Saccharomyces cerevisiae S288C: one gene and its partners. The gene in region 1 interacts genetically with each later gene. Each region holds a gene or a part of one and is shown in the gene's direction. Other genes may lie near its edges. The genes, in order: SNO1, LPX1, ACB1 and TPN1.

The links.
Region 2: mutations in SNO1 (region 1) and LPX1 together harm fitness more than expected from each alone (negative genetic interaction), as found in Saccharomyces cerevisiae (2 studies listed by BioGRID).
Region 3: mutations in SNO1 (region 1) and ACB1 together harm fitness more than expected from each alone (negative genetic interaction), as found in Saccharomyces cerevisiae (2 studies listed by BioGRID).
Region 4: mutations in SNO1 (region 1) and TPN1 are lethal when combined (synthetic lethality), as found in Saccharomyces cerevisiae (2 studies listed by BioGRID, with this or other methods).

The regions. Positions count from the first base shown.
Region 1 is NC_001145.3:456,685-460,003, reverse strand, and holds SNO1 (putative pyridoxal 5'-phosphate synthase), read left to right. Parts: upstream 1-2,044; coding exon 2,045-2,719; downstream 2,720-3,319. Other genes in the region: putative GTPase MTG1, read left to right, coding at 1-580; pyridoxine biosynthesis protein SNZ1, read right to left, coding at 703-1,596; CTF13 (Ctf13p), read right to left, coding at 2,743-3,319. UniProt on the Saccharomyces cerevisiae protein: Catalyzes the hydrolysis of glutamine to glutamate and ammonia as part of the biosynthesis of pyridoxal 5'-phosphate. The resulting ammonia molecule is channeled to the active site of a SNZ isoform.
Region 2 is NC_001147.6:478,629-482,250, forward strand, and holds LPX1 (triglyceride lipase), read left to right. Parts: upstream 1-1,958; coding exon 1,959-3,122; downstream 3,123-3,622. Other genes in the region: TGL5 (triacylglycerol lipase), read right to left, coding at 1-560; transcriptional repressor WHI5, read left to right, coding at 905-1,792; dolichyl-diphosphooligosaccharide--protein glycotransferase OST3, read left to right, coding at 3,405-3,622. UniProt on the Saccharomyces cerevisiae protein: Has acyl esterase, lipase and phospholipase A activity.
Region 3 is NC_001139.9:559,158-562,074, reverse strand, and holds ACB1 (long-chain fatty acid transporter ACB1), read left to right. Parts: upstream 1-2,080; coding exon 2,081-2,344; downstream 2,345-2,917. Other genes in the region: sphingolipid homeostasis protein ORM1, read right to left, coding at 725-1,393. UniProt on the Saccharomyces cerevisiae protein: Binds medium- and long-chain acyl-CoA esters with very high affinity and may function as an intracellular carrier of acyl-CoA esters. Enhances the in vitro activity of the ceramide synthase complex.
Region 4 is NC_001139.9:150,537-154,980, reverse strand, and holds TPN1 (Tpn1p), read left to right. Parts: upstream 1-2,204; coding exon 2,205-3,944; downstream 3,945-4,444. Other genes in the region: cystathionine beta-lyase STR3, read left to right, coding at 1-366; YGL185C (putative hydroxyacid dehydrogenase), read left to right, coding at 675-1,814. UniProt on the Saccharomyces cerevisiae protein: Thiamine-regulated, high affinity import carrier of pyridoxine, pyridoxal and pyridoxamine.

The DNA.
Region 1 (3,319 bases):
CAATCAAGTGAATATGGGAAGAAAATTTAAGAAAGTAGCCAAAACTGGTGCAGAAGCTGGTGTTACTAGAGCCACAAGCGAGGTTATTAGAGTAACTTCACGGAATACGGAATCAAGAAATGAAATATACTTGATAGATACTCCAGGAATCGGTGTTCCCGGTCGCGTTTCAGATCATAATAGAATGCTAGGACTGGCGTTGTGTGGTAGTGTTAAAAATAACCTTGTAGATCCAATATTTCAAGCGGATTACCTTTTATACCTAATGAACTTGCAAAATTTGAACGATGGAAGAACAGAGCTTTACCCTGGAAGCACCAATTCTCCCACAAATGATATATATGATGTTTTAAGAAGGCTTCAAGTGAATAAAAGCCAAAATGAAAAATCAACGGCTATCGAGTGGACTAACAAATGGAGGTTGCATGGAAAGGGTATCATATTTGACCCTGAGGTACTGTTGAATAATGACGAGTTTTCTTATAAAAACTATGTAAATGATCAATTGGAAAAGTTAGGAGATCTTTCGTATGAGGGATTGTCTAACAAACTAAAAGGGAACCCCAATCAAGTATTCTAGTAAATAATATCCAGCATACATAAGCTTATCTAATAATTAGATCATTTTACAATGTGTACCGAGTAATACAAAGTTGAGGGGGGAAAAAGTGTTATAATGCTCAAAATACCTGTTCAAAGAAATCACCACCCAATTTCGGAAAGTCTTACTCCATTGGAAGCATGACTAATAGATTCGATTGATACACCACCCATTAACTCTCCTAAGTCACTAGATACTTCCAACAATTTGCTGGGATTGTCAAAGTGAGTGGTAGCCTCTACTACTGCAGTGGCCAACCTTACAGGATTAGATGATTTAAAAATTCCTGAGCCAACAAACACACCATCACAACCCAACTGCATTAACAATGCGGCATCGGCTGGCGTTGCTACACCACCTGCAGCAAAATTTACTACTGGCAACTTACCTTTTTCTAAAACATCTTTCAGCAAAGAAACTGGTACCCTCATTTCCTCAGCAACTTTTGCAATGTCATCTTCGCTCTTCAATTGTTGGCACGCCTTTATCTCCTCTGTAATTCTCCTTATATGCTTGACGGCTTCAGAGACATCGCCCGTTCCAGCTTCACCCTTGGTACGAATCATAGCGGCGCCTTCATTAATTCTTCTCAAAGCTTCACCTAAGTCTTTAGCGCCACAAACAAATGGAACTTTGAATTTGTCCTTTTCAATGTGGTGAGTCCAATCAGCAGGAGTCAAGACTTCACTTTCGTCAATATAGTCAACTTCCAATGCCTCAATAATTTGAGCTTCAACAAAATGGCCAATCCTTACCTTAGCCATGACGGGAATGGAAACGGAGTTCATGATGTCCTTAATCATCTTCGGATCTGACATGCGGCAAACCTTTCCTGACTTACGCATATCTGCTGGGATGGATTCTAATGCCATTACCGCACATGCACCAGATTTTTCAGCTATTTTTGCCTGCTCTGGAGTAACAACATCCATAATAACGCCACCTTTTAACATTTGGGCGAGACCACTCTTGATCTTAAAGTCTTCTCCAGTCATCGTGATAATTAACTGAATATTAGTACTGTGTATATTTGCTAGTCGTTCCTAAAGGTTTCTCCAACAATACCATAGACTTCGTCCATAGCTCTCAGCGTCCTCCTATTTATATCGAAAATGGTACTTCGCAGCCAGAATTACAGACGTAACTAACGGTGCGGCAGAGTGTGTCAGAGTCATGAAGAAATGGCGGCGCTACCTGAAAAGTAGTGAAAAAGCCCGGCTTTCAACCCTTACCCTTGTCGGCTGAGTCATTATGTCATGATGAGCTATTCCAACTAGTGCCATAAATTCCAACTGAGTCAGTAAACGGCATTTATCAGCAATAACTGGTCACGAACTCTTTGAATGTTTTATTCTTTCTTCCAAAAATCACGTTGATGCCACCAGGTTTTTTTTTCTTATTATTTCATTTCGTTAAATAGAAAGAAAAACCATATCTTAAAGTATGCACAAAACCCACAGTACAATGTCCGGAAAGTCGATGAAAGTAATTGGGGTTTTGGCGTTGCAAGGTGCCTTTTTGGAGCATACCAACCATTTAAAAAGGTGTTTGGCTGAAAACGACTACGGAATAAAGATAGAAATCAAAACTGTAAAAACTCCTGAGGATCTAGCCCAGTGCGACGCCTTAATTATTCCCGGAGGAGAATCTACGTCGATGTCCCTCATCGCTCAAAGAACAGGCTTATATCCTTGTTTATACGAATTTGTTCATAATCCGGAAAAGGTAGTTTGGGGTACTTGTGCTGGTCTCATCTTTTTAAGCGCGCAATTAGAAAACGAAAGTGCCCTAGTAAAGACTTTAGGTGTGTTGAAGGTCGACGTGAGAAGAAACGCATTTGGAAGACAAGCTCAATCTTTTACACAAAAGTGTGATTTTTCCAATTTCATACCTGGCTGTGATAATTTTCCTGCTACATTTATTCGCGCACCCGTGATCGAGAGAATTCTTGATCCTATCGCGGTTAAAAGTTTATATGAATTGCCAGTGAATGGAAAGGATGTGGTTGTAGCTGCAACGCAAAATCATAATATCCTTGTGACTTCTTTTCATCCAGAGCTTGCTGACAGTGATACAAGATTTCATGATTGGTTTATCAGACAGTTTGTTTCTAATTAAAATACCGCCGGTTTTCCACATTTTTATATTACCAAAACCTGAGAGATTTTTTCACATCGATAAATCTCTACTCGTTTACTATCGAACAATGCTCTAGGTACGATGATATTGTTAAAAACTTCAGATACATTTTGTAGCTTGATATGGTTCAAAGTCCGAAAAGATAGCCAAACTATTGCTTGACATCGAAGGTATGTTATTTGATTAATTTCACTTTTGTCAAGCTCTTTTATTCTTGTGTGTCGTAAATTAAAAAATTTTGTGAATTTACTATCATCTTCCTTTATGTACAACGATTTAAAAGTTCTCTTATCGACTTTTAGTTCCTTTAGTATATTTTCCTCGATGTTCCACCACTTGATTTTACTTACACGTTTCATTGTCAGAGATTTAAAATTTTTGGGAAAGACAATGCTATTCAGGTCGATGTAAGCTACTCTACTTAATACAAGCTTTTGCAAGTTGTCCCATCTTGTAAAGTCAGCTAGTCCGGTTCTGGAAATTTGATTCATGCGTGATAGGCGTATTTCATTTATCCTACGTTTCACTATGTAACTAATCGTTTTACCAGGATTGTCTCTGAACCCATGAAAATTTATT
Region 2 (3,622 bases), on another chromosome or scaffold:
CCGCTAAGCACGAGAGCCGTGCGCCCTATGTTTCTTCTCGTCTGTTGCAAAATACCGAGGAGATAGTGATCGTTCATATTTGACTGATGGATCAGCGCGGTGAGCACTGCTTGAGACTCTTCTAGGTAGTCATGTATAATTTGTTTTGTGCCGGTATGCGAGTGCCTGTAAAGATTAACGTTATTCATGTTGCCAAGATTACGGACCCACTTAGTTCTAATCAGATAAAGCAGGCGGTGGTAGTCGTGAGTGGTTCTCAAATGGCGCATACGGATGGTCAAGTCTTGCAGCAGCTTATAGTTATACAACGAGGACTCGTCGATTGTTTTCCATTCGGAAAGTCCCGTTAAGTCGTCTAATCGCGACGCTATGTCATTCCATTGATCGTAGGAGATGGCGTGTTTTTTCTGGGAAGACAAATCGGATATGAGCAGCTGTTTACGGGAGAGAGTCTTGTGGTATAACCATTTGAAGAGCGATGATGAGTCTGTGGCAGGAGTGTTGGAAAGTTCGTAGTATTTGGATAAAAGAAATTCTGTTACTGGCAAGGTATTAGACATAGCAACGAAACAGAACCGTCTTCCTTGTGCTGTTTATGATGTCTTTTGTCTCCTATTGTTTTCGAATTTTATTTTTTTTTTTTTTTATTTTTTTATTTTTTTTTGTTTTATATAATTCCTCGCGCTGCCTTAATGATAATTCTTGATTTACTAATTGTTTCATGACTTCTGGTGCTAAAGGGAAGGGGGAAAAGGGAAGCGAAAACTTCAAGAGCAGAACGAAAAAAATAAAAAAAACAAAACAAAACAAAACAAAACAAAGGCAAAACAAGGCAAAGAACCTGATGGAAGAAAGCACAACCAGATATTAATAGCAACGAAAAATAGTAGAGACATTGAAGAATATGAGTTTGAGAACGCCGAAGAGAAGCAGGACTAGCGATGAACAAGAACAAGAACAAGAACAAGAGCAGGTACAGAACCCAGATACACATGTAAACAACGAGCATCAGCAGCGACCTGGGCCAACCACTCTATTGAGCACGCCAGTACGTCTCAAAAATGGCTTTGGAACACCATCGCCGCCGTCACCACCAGGCATAACGAAAAGCATCACTAAATCGAGAAGAAGGCCGTCGACAACGAGTCTTCAGGGTATATTCATGTCGCCCGTCAATAAGCGTCGTGTCGGCATAACCGCACATGGACGTGTATATGACCATAACGACGACGGACACGAAAGTGAGAGTGAGGACGACGAAAATGAAGAAGAAAATGAAAATCAAAAGAAGTACGACGGACACGTTAGTATGCCTTTGTTGCCACCGACAACGCCCAAGTCAAGACGGTCGGAGGTGTTTCTGTCGCCGTCGCCGCGTTTGAGGTCACCTCCGACGGCTGCGCGTCGGTCTACGGGCGAGCGGCCCATCCGCGAAATATCACATACTTTGCGCACCAGGCTCAATTACGCGTTAGTCAAGCTGCAAAATGGATGGACGGACAAGACACTTCCCGAGCTGGAGACGGAGCTTGCTCCAGCAGTGCAGACGCCGCCACGTCGCTATCACAACAGATTTCCAGATAGTGCAGACGCGGGTACTTCCGCGCATACAGCGTTTCTTCAGGCGCTCGGAGGCCACCCACCACGGGAGGAGGCCACGGCTGTCGAAACACTGATGCTATTGTCGTCGCCTACCAAGAAGCAACAACACCGACCCGTGCCGGCGACATCTGCTGGAGAACCCACGGACGAAACGGAGCCCGAGTCGGATACCGAAGTGGAGACGTCTTAATGTGGTAGTACGAGTTTTTTCTCCGCAATCTCGGAGTTAGTGCAGCCGCGCCCGCTGCTGCACCCTTTAGCATATATATAAAGTGCGTAATGTGCGTGCTAAAAAAGCTCACTAGTGCGTACTCTGCTTATCTCTGCGTATCCGCCGATCAACATCCGCGGCTAAAATGGAACAGAACAGGTTCAAGAAAGAAACGAAAACTTGTAGCGCTAGCTGGCCGCGCGCACCGCAGTCGACGCTGTGTGCGACAGATCGCCTCGAGCTCACATACGATGTGTACACTAGCGCAGAGCGGCAACGCCGCTCTCGCACTGCCACTAGGCTTAACCTTGTGTTTTTGCACGGCAGCGGCATGAGTAAGGTGGTATGGGAGTACTATTTGCCGCGTCTGGTAGCCGCCGATGCGGAGGGCAATTATGCCATCGACAAGGTTTTGTTGATCGACCAGGTTAACCACGGTGATTCTGCGGTACGCAACCGCGGCAGACTCGGCACCAATTTCAACTGGATCGACGGGGCCCGCGACGTGCTCAAGATTGCCACATGCGAGTTGGGCAGTATTGACAGCCACCCGGCACTAAACGTAGTCATCGGCCACTCGATGGGCGGGTTCCAGGCTCTTGCGTGTGACGTCCTGCAGCCCAATCTGTTTCATTTGCTCATCTTGATCGAGCCTGTAGTAATCACACGGAAAGCCATCGGCGCCGGGAGGCCAGGGCTTCCGCCCGATTCTCCGCAGATCCCAGAAAATCTTTATAACTCCCTACGTTTAAAGACGTGCGACCATTTCGCTAACGAGTCCGAATATGTAAAATATATGAGGAACGGTTCCTTTTTTACCAATGCGCACAGCCAAATCCTGCAAAACATCATCGATTTTGAGAGGACAAAAGCCTCTGGAGACGATGAAGATGGTGGACCCGTTCGCACGAAGATGGAGCAGGCTCAAAATCTCCTCTGCTACATGAACATGCAGACTTTTGCGCCTTTCCTGATCAGCAATGTGAAGTTTGTGAGGAAGCGGACTATCCACATTGTGGGCGCGCGCTCCAACTGGTGTCCTCCGCAAAATCAGCTGTTTTTGCAGAAAACTCTACAGAACTACCATCTCGATGTCATTCCCGGCGGCTCCCACTTGGTCAACGTTGAGGCTCCGGACCTGGTGATCGAGAGGATTAATCACCACATCCACGAGTTTGTCCTTACCTCCCCGCTGCAGTCCTCACACATTCCGCAATTGACCCTTGAAGAAAGAGCGGTGATGTTTGACCGGGCTTTCGACTCGTTCAAGAATGAAGCTTTGGTTAAAACGACTAAACAAAAACTGTAAACACTTGTGTACACTATTACATATATTATTCAATAATAATTAACTGACGCAATCTATGGCACTGGCGTGGTTTCTTTTTCTTTTGTTTTCCGTGCAAGCGCGATGCAACTATATCGTCGAGGACGAATGTGTACCCGTCTTTCCGCCAGACAGGTAACAAGTACTTCAATTGACTTAGAAGAAAAACATTAAGGAACTTTAACGTAGGAGCAACACAATACCAGGCACACGCTCTTCGAACACTGAACCACACGCGTCCGCATCAAACTCTTCCTCCCAAACATGAATTGGCTGTTTTTGGTCTCGCTGGTTTTCTTCTGCGGCGTGTCAACCCATCCTGCCCTGGCAATGTCCAGCAACAGACTACTAAAGCTGGCTAATAAATCTCCCAAGAAAATTATACCTCTGAAGGACTCAAGTTTTGAAAACATCTTGGCACCACCTCACGAAAATGCCTATATAGTTGCTCTGTTTACTGCCACAGCGCCCGAAATTGGCTG
Region 3 (2,917 bases), on another chromosome or scaffold:
ATCTAAATTAGTGGAAGCTGAAACGCAAGGATTGATAATGTAATAGGATCAATGAATATTAACATATAAAACGATGATAATAATATTTATAGAATTGTGTAGAATTGCAGATTCCCTTTTATGGATTCCTAAATCCTCGAGGAGAACTTCTAGTATATTCTGTATACCTAATATTATAGCCTTTATCAACAATGGAATCCCAACAATTATCTAATTACCCACATATATCTCACCTTCAGCATCTTTTTCCCCATTTTTTTACTTGTAGTATAGATTGTTGTTTACGTGCACGATTAGCTTCTTCAAACCAGGAAACAGCAATGTATACATTGGCAACTTGGCCGAGTGGTTAAGGCGAAAGATTAGAAATCTTTTGGGCTTTGCCCGCGCAGGTTCGAGTCCTGCAGTTGTCGTTATTTTTGAGTTTTCCGATGTCTATTTTGTGATAATAGTATTAGAAGCAGTACGTGAAATAGTGCTAATACTATCTGTTATTCTTTTTGAATAGAATATGATTATATGAATTAAATACAATTTCAACAAATAGGTTTAGAAGGTGCATTAATATGGAATTTTTTCAATTTTTGTTCACATTCTTTTTCATTTACATAAATGAAGTCCGAAATCCGTTGTTGGCTTTTGAAATTTCAAAGCGTTAGTGATTTGGCCCAGAAAATATAAATATAGCAAAAACATCTAGATACAAGATTGAAATAAACTATGTTCAACTAATTTGGGCGCGACCTGTGATACCTGGGATAGAAATCCTTAATCTATGAGTAACAGGTAACTTTGGGACAACAGCACCAAAGGTTGTCAAAAAACAATTCCATGAAAACAATTTCAAATCATAGTGAGCATAATGAGTACTAACTAAGAATAGGGCGATCGGGACACTAATCAAAAATTTTCTTGAAGGAGTATATAAAGTCTCGTCGTCAATTTGTTCCCACATCGTCAAGTTGTCATAAGCACCACCATTGAAATCGAAAGGGGTACCCTTAATCAGATGGAACATGACATAGGACCCAATAACATATGTCATATTAGTCAGAGTCCACGACCATTCTGTGGTAACACCAGGAAATAAATTATAAAATAGTTTCAGCAGTATGATAATGACCACATGAATAATCCAAGCGCCGCGTTGGTCTACCCAAGTAGCATTCATATTTGGTAGAAGTTGCTGGTCATTTTCATCTTCAAAAGTCTCCGGTTCCACATGTGAAATTATGCTGGAAGAACGCCTTCTTCTATGATCTTTCACAGGTTCCGTCGTTTTAATTGATGAAGATGCACTGCCTGCAGAAGGAAACGGCTTAAGGTCCGTTTGATTTCGACTATACGAGGTAGAAGCCGCCTCAGCAGTTCCTTGATAATCTAATTCGGTCATTAACTAAATGGATAAAAATGCAATGAAATACAAAATAAGAATAACTCTGCTTTTTAGAGAATATGTGGTAAACAACAAAAGGTAGTTAGGGAAATTCAAAAAGGGAATATCAAGCAAAGGAAGATGTTATCGATCAGTGAATTTTTCTTGTTTCGTGAATCCACTGAAATATCTGCATCTGAAGGCGAGATCTCATGATAGTTTTCTAAGGTCTTAAAGTGAAAACATAGGCATTTCACTATACCCGATAGTTGTCGGGTAACGGCTTTGAGTCTACGATGGTTTATATACCGCAGCTCCGTTAGCAAAGGAATAGAGGAAACTCGAAACAGGTAGTCTAGCAATTTGTGTAGGGACTAAACATATTTCGACTATTCTCTATAATCCGTTCCTAAACTACATGCCACAAACTCTCGTATTGAAACATTCCATTAAAAAATGACCGTCGGAAGAGATTACGGCCTTGGTGCCTGAAGACAGGTGGCGCTGGCGGCCCTACGCGCTCTCTGACACGTCCGCAAACTCAACAGCTCCAGGCCAACTCCCCAATGACCGCCATATATATAGCTAGCTTGGATCAATTGGTCTGTCTCGGAAGCAAGTACGTTATGTACATCATTTCACTGTGTGAAGCAAAAGAAGGAAGACTAAAACTCTAAAATTAGTTAAACTAGTGTTTTCAGCAAAATGGTTTCCCAATTATTCGAAGAAAAAGCTAAAGCCGTCAACGAGCTACCAACGAAGCCCTCCACTGATGAATTATTAGAATTGTATGCTCTGTACAAGCAAGCCACTGTAGGTGACAACGACAAGGAAAAGCCTGGTATTTTCAACATGAAGGACCGCTACAAGTGGGAAGCCTGGGAAAACTTAAAAGGTAAATCCCAGGAAGATGCCGAAAAGGAATACATTGCCCTTGTTGATCAACTGATTGCCAAGTACTCCTCTTAGAAAAGGGGTATACTAGCTCCATGTAAGGAGTTTTGGCCTAGCTTTCCTTGTTACTATTCTATTATTATATTTTATTGGCTGCAAAAACGTGACTTATGTACATTTATAAATGCCCATATCCCTTACTACTCTCCCTGGGGACAAGGCGTAATAACTGTTAATAAATGCATATACTCTGTTCTATTTAAATTCTCGGGGTTCGCTGGAATATTGAATCACAATTAGGGAGATTCGCATGTAATTTACGCCGAGAATGATACTGATTTGTGTTGAATATGACAAGGTTTAGCGGAAACACGCTCTTGAAATTTTTAAAGATATTTTCATGATTTATATACAGACTGATCTGTATACATTTTTATATTGTCATACATAGGCTTTAATAACTACTCAGTTTTTTTTGATGGCGGCAGAAGCAGCGCTTTCATTGCTCTACACAAATCCGCAATTCAAGTGACAGACGCCAAACTAGTGGTACAGTACACTTACTGAAGCGCACCATGTATACCCTGATCTACATCTAGAGCTTGTTCAGTTTTTCTTTATGCTTTTAATTACGCCAGGAAGAAAACC
Region 4 (4,444 bases), on another chromosome or scaffold:
TGGGCTGTGACGGTATCTTTCGGGTGTGTAAATTCGCTTCTATCTATGCCTTGCAAAATGTCCCATGCTTCCATTGATCCCGAATTAAGGAAAGAGAGAGATTTTCCTGAAGATTTGGTTCGTCTTTGCTGCGGTATCGAAAATATAGTAGATTTGAAGAAAGATTTATTAGCGGCGATGGTTGACGCTGATATTATAGAAGTAAGAGAAAATGGCAAATATCTTTTCAACAAATTGAATAAGAACCTAGCTGTGAACACTACCATCGATGACCTGCATAAGCCTTTAAGTATTTACGAAGAATTTTACAATCAAGATCTCATCAGAAAGGACTCAGAATTGAATATTAAGAGTTCGAAATTGTAAGGGAAAATATGCATGTACCTTTTTTTTTTTTTTTTATAAGGTTCAAATCCAAAGATAGTAACTTTAAATAGTCAAGTATATAGACAGAATTTCAAGAACAGTAAGTATATTAAACTTTTACAGCCTTTCGGGCTGTTCCGTAAGCTCTTACTACTACCCTTGGGAAACGCACGCGCGAAGGAGGAAAGTTTGCCTCAATGAACGTGTGTAATGGCGGTCGTAAAAGGAATATAGAAATAGCTGTGCTTTTATAACTTCACTCGACAATGGGTTGACAGCAGATTTAGAAGGAAAAGAGCATACAAAAAATGTGCGATTCTCCTGCAACGACTGGAAAGCCTACTATTCTTTTCATCGCAGATCCGTGCGAAACATCAGCCACACTTAATTCCAAGGCATTCAAAGAGAAGTTCAGGATCTTGCGCTATCAGCTGGACACCAAAGAAGCATTTCTTAACTTTTTAGAAAGGCATGAACAAGACAAAATATGTGCCATTTATGCTGGGTTTCCGGCATTCAAAAAAATCGGTGGGATGACTCGAAGTATCATCGAACACAAGTCATTTCCAAGGAAAAATTTAAAATGTATCGTGCTTTGCTCAAGAGGTTACGACGGATGGGATCTGGATACATTACGCAAGCATGAAATTCGATTATACAACTACCAAGACGATGAAAATGAAAAATTGATAGACGATTTAAAGCTTCATCAAGTCGGTAATGATGTGGCAGATTGTGCCTTGTGGCACATTCTGGAGGGCTTTAGAAAGTTCTCCTATTACCAAAAACTTAGTAGAGAAACTGGAAATACATTAACTGCAAGGGCGAAAGCTGCAGAAAAGAGCGGATTTGCTTTTGGCCATGAACTGGGGAATATGTTTGCTGAATCACCAAGAGGAAAGAAATGCTTAATTCTTGGTTTAGGAAGTATTGGAAAGCAAGTAGCCTACAAGTTGCAATACGGGCTAGGAATGGAAATACATTATTGCAAAAGAAGCGAAGATTGCACAATGAGTCAAAACGAAAGCTGGAAATTTCATTTGCTAGATGAAACAATATATGCAAAACTATACCAGTTTCATGCAATCGTGGTCACATTGCCGGGAACTCCACAAACAGAACATTTAATCAACAGGAAATTTTTGGAACACTGCAATCCAGGCCTAATTTTAGTCAACTTGGGAAGAGGTAAAATTTTGGACTTGCGGGCTGTTTCTGACGCCTTGGTAACGGGACGAATCAACCATCTCGGTTTAGACGTCTTTAATAAAGAACCAGAAATAGATGAAAAAATCAGATCTTCTGATAGACTTACTTCAATTACTCCGCATTTGGGTAGTGCGACAAAGGATGTTTTTGAGCAAAGTTGTGAACTGGCATTGACAAGAATCTTACGGGTAGTGTCTGGGGAAGCCGCAAGCGATGAGCATTTCTCCCGTGTAGTTTGATAGTAAGAGACGTAAGAACCTTATGTTAACATACCTATATATACATATACGTCAACACACCAAGAAAAAAGAGCAGTGCGAGTTTTCGTATGCATTTGACTTCAAAAAGAAGTCAACATTAAGTGCCGTTTTTGTTTCGACAATGGATTGTAGTACAGTGCCCCGTAGGTGTATGACTCGTACTTGCGTGTAAGTAAATTTCGGATTTGTTCGCCGCACCTTATCTCACCTGAAATTTTCTGCGTCAGGCTGCTTTGATGGTGTCTAAGAGAAGGCCATTAAAAAAGAGAACAGATGTTGAGGTTCTCAGTATAAAAATATTACTGTTGAATATTATTAGCTTTATAGAGTATTTATCAAAGAACAGGACTTGAAAAACTTCGATCATAGATGAATAGGGACAACATGGACACAACAAAGCGCAAAGAAGATCATACAAAGCATACTACTGATGTAATAGAATTTTACGAAGAAGGAACCGCAGCTTCTTCTTTAAACATAGCCACAGAAAAGGCCAACTCAAGTCCGTCCATTTTGAGAAGAATTATCAACAGGGCGGCATGGCTTTCTAAGAAAGTGGACGCAATGGGAGTAGAGTCTACCGGTATTCAGAGGATATCTCCCTATGAACGAGGAACATCAAAGAAACAATTTTTGCATGTCGCGGGGCTATGGTTGAGTGCCACAGGTGGTTTGTCTTCCATGTCGTCGTTTTTATTAGGCCCTCTGCTTTTCGGTTTAAGCTTTAGAGAATCCGTAGCCTCCAGTTTAATATCGGTAACAATTGGTTGCTTAATTGCTGCCTATTGCTCGATCATGGGACCGCAGTCCGGTTGCAGACAGATGGTAACAGCTAGATACCTGTTCGGATGGTGGTTTGTTAAATTAGTTGCATTAGCTTCCATTATCGGTGTCATGGGTTGGTCTGTGGTTAATTCCGTGGTTGGGGGTGAAATGTTAGCTGCTATTTCTAATGATAAAGTACCCCTATGGGTAGGGATTGTCATAGTGACCGTATGCTCCTTTTTAGTTGCCATTTTCGGTATCAAACAAGTCATTAAAGTGGAAACTTACTTATCCGTACCCGTCCTGACAGCATTTTTACTACTGTACATTTCATCAAGTGATAAATACAGCTTCGTCAATGCATACGTTTCAAAGGGAAATTTGGACTCTTCCACCCGAAAGGGCAACTGGATGAGTTTTTTTTCATTATGCTATAGTATTACGGCTACTTGGGGGTCTATTACAGCAGACTATTATATATTGTTCCCAGAAGATACACCATATATTCAAATTTTTTGCCTAACGTTTTTTGGAACATTTTTGCCTACCTGTTTCGTCGGAATCTTAGGTCTCTTACTAGCTTCTGTTGCCATGTCGTATAAGCCTTGGTCAGTCGAGTACGATTCCCATGGAATGGGTGGTCTACTTTGGGCAGGTTTTCAGCGTTGGAACGGCTTCGGAAAGTTCTGCGTGGTAGTACTGGTATTCAGTTTGGTATCCAACAACATCATCAATACGTATTCGGCAGCATTCTCCATCCAACTTTCTAGTGTGTTTTGTGCAAAAATCCCTCGCTGGTTCTGGTCTATTGTTTGTACTATAATTTGTTTGGTATGCGCATTAATAGGTCGTAATCATTTTAGTACTATTTTGGGAAATTTCCTACCAATGATAGGCTACTGGATTAGCATGTACTTTATCTTATTATTCGAAGAGAATTTAGTATTCAGAAGGTTTTTCTTACATTTGTACACCAAAGAGTTTCCTACAGTTACAGGAGAAATAAATGGACCGGAACTTGTTGGATCTTCAAAAGAAGTGGAGAAAGATGCAGTTACTAATATCCATTTGTTAAAAAGAAAACATAAGGTGACTAAACATCGTTACAATTGGGACAAATGGGAAGATTATGAGGTTTTAACGCACGGTTATGCAGCAACATTTGCGTTTATTGTAGGAGTTGCTGGTGTGGTAGTTGGTATGGCGCAAGCCTATTGGATTGGCCCAATTGCTGCCAAATTTGGTGAATATGGTGGTGATGTCGCAATGTGGTTAAGTATGGCGTTCTCAGGTGTTGTATACCCTCCTTGTAGATACTTAGAGCTACGTAAATTTGGTCGTTAATTGAAATGACATAAGTATATATTAAAACTACGGTGCAGCGGCAAACTTTAGTTTAGATAATATTGGCAGGTAGATTCATGGTATGTTAAATTACGCTCAGGGAGGATATTTTTTTGTACACATTATCTTTTCACATGAAAATCTAAGCCTGGTGGACAATTGAAATCATCGAGTGATATACTGACACTTTGAACAGTAGCACAAATCGTTTAATTTGCTGTCACGATCTAAGTTTTCTGTCAGCTGACTGTCCACCAATAAGATCAGCGGATTCCAAAGGCGTCCTTCGAAAAAGCGATATCTCCCATCTTGGTTAGTAGCAAATAAAGGGAAGAGAAAATAAGACACACTCAAGGATAAAATACTTCGCTTCTTCCAAGTATAAACACAGGAAAGAAAGATATACGAAGATTAGAATTTTTTTCATACTTTTTACAAAACATTTTTTTGTACTTAGGCACGCTAATTGCGTAAAAATTAGCATAAACAGGAAATAAGAT